2 linked regions of the Xenopus tropicalis genome follow. The protein of the gene in region 1 purifies or fractionates together with the protein of each later gene. This does not show direct contact. Links are inferred from orthologs where the notes say so. Each region holds a gene or a part of one and is shown in the gene's direction. Other genes may lie near its edges.

Region 1 (2,878 bases):
CCTCAGCTTTTTGGAATAATAGATGTTCAGTTTAAGATAATTACCAAAAAGAAAAAAGCTTTAAAGTGTTCCCTATGCCACAAGCCACAAAGTGGAATGCGTGAGTAATGGTTAATTTTTCTGAAATCCACATTAATGCCCAAAGATCCTTTTAGTCACATGTTCAAAGGAAACAAAAATTCAAACAAGCATCTGGAAAATACTCAATTTTTAATAGACTGAGATTTTTTTAAGACATTATCTGTCTTTGTTTTTCTACTCCTGGTTATTTTTGGCCACATAAAGGGTCGATAGGTATTTGGGGCCTCCTCCTTGGCACGCTGGATGTCTGTTCTTTTCATTCCCCTTACTGCAGCATAAGCAAAAACAAAAATAACTAACCCATTATTATTATGGGAACGCTACTTCTCTTGGCTCCCCAGAGCAGCTCCATACACGCTCACCAAAACTGCCCAGTTGCACATATAGGCACATCACCGTCTGATATATCAGCCAAATTAATAAAGCTGTAGGCTTTCCAGCCACAGACCTACTGTGGTCCTCATTTATCAACTCTGGGTAAATTTACACCTGGGCAGGAATTTATAGCAGCCAATCAGTGAGTAGCTTTTTTCAGACAGCTGCAAGTAGAATAATAAAAGTTGCCACGGGTAACTGCCAGGGATAAGTTTGACCAGTGTTGATAAACGGGTCCCACTAACTGTTACATGCTGGAGCCCATGGGAGGTTGTCCCAATTTATCTGTTGCTTGAGTGTAAATATCATTGCCAGTTCTTTGTTGCTTTTGACATGTTTCCAATGGAACTTTAGCAGAATGCTGGGTTGTGTACAGAAAGCAGTAACGTGCTGACAAGGGAAAGTAGGCTATTTTCAGATAGCTAAAGGTCCATGGAGATCATTTTCTGCAGAGATTACACAGGTATGGGATACACCAGTATCACCAAATTAAAGGAAGGCCATCTCCCATAGACCCCATTTTAATCAAATAATTCAAAATTATTTTAATAAAATAATTTCCTTTTACTCTGTAATAATAAAATAGTACCTTGTACTTGATCCCAACTAAAATATAATGAATCCTTATTGGTGGCAAAACACTTTTATTGAGTTTATTTAATGTTTACATTTATTTTTTTAACAGACTTATGGTATGAAGATCCAAATTACGATAAGATCACTTATCCAGAAAACTCGAGGCCCCAAACATTCTAAATAACAGGTCCCATACCTGAACATCATATTAAATAAAAATTTTATGGCAAAGCTTTTGTAGGTTTCAAATATGATGGCGAGAAACAGATTCTGCTGAATGAATAGTGCAAAGGAATAGTGACATTATGTAGTTTTCCCACTCTTGCAGGGTCCAAGCCTTTCGTGATGCAGCCTCTGCCCTAGAGCTGGAGAGGGAGTCTCTGATAGAAAAGATTCACAGCGTGCAGAACAGTCATGACATAAGGACGATCAGTGATGGTAAGGCCTACTCATCTCTATAGATAACGAATCCATGATTCTTACCATTTTTTTAATAAATGACTCAACATTGCAGGTTTTAGTGGATATCATTTTATTTGTGGTTTCAAAAAAACACTAAAATCTGAATGTTGATAAATGTGCCTCTAAGGATTAACTATAGCAGATGCTTGTGCCTTAGAGCTGTTAACCCTGAATCTGGAGGGGGAGAGATTGACAGGAACAGTGGGCCTCACTCAAATGGAAGATACGCCTTAAGTTCTTCCATCTCTCCTGTCACATACCTCGGTTACAGATAAGAGTGACTGGCCATCTGTTCCCTTTCCCACCCCAAGGTTAACACACCCAGAAAGACCTACTGAGACAAAAACACAAATGTTGGTAAATGCAAAATGGTGTATCTGTTGGAGGAAAGATTATATAATTTCAGTATTTTAAAGGACATTTACCATGTATATAAGTTGGGCATGTCTCCCCCACCCAAACCACACCATTTGTATTGCAAAAAAAAAATAAAAAAAAATTTATATATAGTCTACAAAAAATCGGCACTCACCACTCCATAGATATCGGCCGGGTGCTAACCAAAAAATACAGAGTGCATATGTAGAAAGCACTCACGGCAATAGATATATAAACAGTCCGTTTATTCAATCATCGCATCTACGCGTCTCGACCCCCACAGGATCGTCATCAGGATAGGGAAAGGAAGTGAAGTGCACACATAACATGAACTAATCAGTGCTCCCAATCAATTAGCATGTTCAATCCAAGAGTCTGTAAGTATTATATCAATTAAGTGATTAAAAATCACTGTTAAAACCCCCCTCTCTCATAACACCATCTATGGAGCACCTACTCACGCATCATAAATATAGTTAACATTTATACATTACATCAGTAACAAAAATTGACACATGATTTTTTTAAAAGCACGATCATCAATAATATCAACATAAATATGGGGGCCAATAGAGAGCGGGGATAACCCGATAGTGAAAAACAAAATACTCAAACCATCTCCCATTGTGGGAAAGTTAGAGAAGTGAATAATATACTATATATCAGAGTCAGAGTCCACGAGGAGCAATAGTATCCAACCTTCGAATCCATTGAGCCTCCCTTTGTAGTAGTAGTTTAGAAATCACCACCACGCAATAAAGGGGGAATATGATCAATCAAACTAGCCCTTAACATGGGCAACGAATGTTTCTGTTGTGTAAAGTGCCTTGCAAGTGGAATATCAGACTTACCAGTAGCCAAAGCCGCACGGATCACTGATCTGTGATTGTTCATTTGTGTGGGGAAAGATGTAACACATTTTCCTATATAGTAAAAGCCACACGGGCACATAATGCAATAGATGACATGATCCAAGGTACAAGTCAATCTATGCCGTATCAAGAAT
Region 2 (3,141 bases), on another chromosome or scaffold:
AGTTGCTTAGAACTCCCATACCGTTGGCCATATTTAGGGTTGTGCCCATCAGAGCCAAGTTCCATGCCAAAACACCCCGCTTAATATATATAAGGGATGCTGGTTTATTGGTTGTATCAGCTGAGGCCTTGTCATGTTGTACAGCTGTGATCTGTGCTCTGAGTGGCAGGTGAGTTACCCTATCAGCCAGTGCCCCTGTAGCAGCTGAAGTCCCGCTCCCTGGAACACTACAGAGCAGAAATCACACTCTGCACAGAGAGGGGTCCTGGTGAGGAAAGACATCTTTATGGATAAAGGGAACATCTTTATCACTGTACAGCTGCAGTCGCCAACACTGTTTTTTTTTTTTGTTGCTCTCTAGGACAAGCATCTTGCTGAGATGGAGGAGCTTTTCTCTCAAGTGGATGAAAAGAGAAAGGTGAGTGTTTAATACTCGACAGCAGTCATAGCTCATACAGGGCCCAGAGCTTTCCTTTTCAGCCTCCTAGAGTTACCGGTATTCCGTTATATCCGTGTTTCCAGCTTGGGTTTGGCAGCTATAAGAAATGAGAAAAGCCGTGTGTAGAGCTGCCATGATGTTGTCTTTATTCTAAGCTCTCCCGGTCCTTCTCTTAACAGAAGAGAGATATCCCAGATTACCTGTGCGGCAAGATCAGCTTTGAGCTTATGAGAGAACCCTGCATAACACCCAGCGGCATCACGTACGATAGGAAAGACATCGAGGAGCATCTTCAGGTAATGTAATATGGGGAGCGGTATGGGAGGGAGGGCTGGGAAATGTTGGAATGAAGGAACGATGTAGGTGTAGATGGACAGGGCCAGATTGTTCTGTGGGGATACCGGGTAAAAACCCAGCAGGCCCTGGCCCTCGTGGGCCCCAACCCAATTGTGATAAACTCTGAAGGGACAGTGACTCCCCTGTTTCAGGATTCATAATAATCTCACTAAGACAGATCTTGGAAAAGTCCATTCAGAATAGAATAATTAAAGGATATTTATATTGCATGGGCCTGCCTATGGGTTGGGGCCAACAGATTACTCCAGCCCTGCAAGTTGTGTCTCTGTGTGTCTCCGAGGAGGCAGGTAATGGGGGTGGGTTAGCAGTGGGTGTGGGGCAGATAATTCCAGACCAGTATATTACAATTTGACATCTCAGAACATGGTATAGTGATGAATTATATTTATGTGCACATGTAAGAGCTGAAATTGGCAGATGTGCAGCTATTGGAAGTGAGCATCAGCTGCTCATATATACACTGGGGGGGTTTCATTCTGCTGTAACTGCCAGCACAGTGATACAGGCACTTGCAAAGCTTTCAGGACATGTATGTGTGCCAGCCCCAGTCTCACTTGTTTATTCTTTAACCAGAGAGTCGGCCACTTTGATCCAGTGACTCGAAGCCCTTTGACTCAAGACCAGCTCATCCCCAACCTGGCCATGAAGGAGGTCATTGATGCGTTCATATCAGAGAATGGCTGGGTGGAGGACTATTGATCATGGGGAAGACTGCAGAAGCCTGGCATTGCCATTAGAGTCCTACTCCTCTTGTGTCACAGACTGTGCCTGTCCAGCCTTAAGCCTTACTCTCCTCCCCTGTGTCTCTGAGCCCTCTGCCAGTAGTCTCTTCTAGGTCCAGCAACCCAAGTCTGCTGCTTTGGTCCTTACTCTTCCGGACCTCCCTGGATTCCCAGTCTCTTGTTTGTGTGCTTTTCCCAGATTCACTACTGCGGTAACCTTCTAGCGAGTGGAACGCTTGCCTGCTTCGGCTTCCTGGTTCATTTCCTTTCCACTTCCAGTAGAGTATTTTATAGCTGTGTGGTTTAAGGGCTGAAGAACTATGTTCTGGTGATGACTTGTTTGCCGACACAGCATGCACTCTGCCAGCCATCATCTCACACCTAGAAGTATTTAGTACAACTCTCAGACTGGGCTACAGTGGTATATGAACAAGCCCGTGATGTCTTCTGTATGCCAATATTTTGCCAGCCGAATATAGCGTGTTCTTATTTAGCTGCTTGACTGTGGAGTTCAACGTTGAATTTTTCTTTTTTGTGAAGTCCTCAACCCGCCCTGCATTGGTTCATTTGCGCTGCGTTGCAGCAGCTGTGATTCGTGGAACAGCACCCTCTGCTGGCAAGACACTAAAAGCAGCACAGCAGAACCTTCAGTGTGGGCTTTGCAGGATGTTGGCTTAGTATGGCAAATTATATACAATGGCTGTGAACTAAGAGTCCGGGCTAAACGGTGCCCTTTGTCCGGTATGGCGACTAACTGCTGCAGGCAGTGCAATGCATGAAACGCATAAAAACCTTTAGATTGTGGTTCCCGAAGCTGCAGATGGAAGGATTTGTATTGACTCAGCCCTAACTACACCAAATGCACATCTGCAGCAATGAATGTATCCACCCCGGGATTTGAACTCCTTGGCTTTACTTTGTACATAGTCCATGTAAATATGTTCTAGTGTCTCTGATATGTATGTGGCCATTGAGGAGTGTGGCAGCCCTTCCGTCAGTACAGATGCATACATTAAAGGAGTTACGCTGTACTGCTGTGCCTGGCTCAATTCACACCCTTACCATTTATTCCTATAACTCTGTACAGAGATTAAATGTCACTCACATCCCAGTGGAGTTTACAATCTAACGTCCCTATCTCACACACTGGGAATTTTCTCAGGAACCACCTGCCTGTGTGTTCCTGGAATGTGGGAGGAAACCAGCCAATCATTCTTGTGGCTGTAATACACCAATTTACTCCTTTGGGAAGGACGGCAAATGAGCAAATATTTCCCCTAGGGCCAAACGATTCACATTGCAATAAAGGGGAAAGGAAAAATCGTAGTGTGTTAATGAGCCTATGTTGTCCCCGACCCGATGACAAAGCCTGTCCGAACATCATCTGGCCAATATTTGGCCAGATAGTGGTTGTGGAGGCTTGTTGGAGGGCCCCGTACATGGGCAGATAAACTGCCGAGTCTGTTTCAAAGGGATACTGTCATGATTTTTATGGTATATTTTATATTCCTAAATTACACTGTTTACATAGCAAATAATTCACTCTACCATTTATAATTTTTTTCTTGAACCAACAAATGTATGTTTTAGCTGTAATATTGGTGTGTAGGCGCCATCTCAGTG

The links. Proteins that work in one complex are often made in the same cells at the same time.
Region 2: the proteins of bag2 (region 1) and stub1 purify together in Homo sapiens (affinity purification with mass spectrometry; 7 studies listed by BioGRID and IntAct, with this or other methods). This does not show direct contact. The link is inferred for Xenopus tropicalis from reciprocal best matches to the Homo sapiens genes BAG2 and STUB1.

Annotation. Positions count from the first base shown.
Region 1 is NC_030681.2:95,349,230-95,352,107, forward strand, and holds part of bag2 (BAG family molecular chaperone regulator 2), read left to right. Parts: intron 1-1,360; coding exon 1,361-1,470; intron 1,471-2,878. UniProt on the Homo sapiens protein: Co-chaperone for HSP70 and HSC70 chaperone proteins. Acts as a nucleotide-exchange factor (NEF) promoting the release of ADP from the HSP70 and HSC70 proteins thereby triggering client/substrate protein release.
Region 2 is NC_030685.2:14,826,140-14,829,280, forward strand, and holds the end of stub1 (E3 ubiquitin-protein ligase CHIP), read left to right. Parts: intron 1-361; coding exon 362-418; intron 419-618; coding exon 619-735; intron 736-1,369; coding exon 1,370-1,495; 3' UTR 1,496-2,549; downstream 2,550-3,141. UniProt on the Homo sapiens protein: E3 ubiquitin-protein ligase which targets misfolded chaperone substrates towards proteasomal degradation.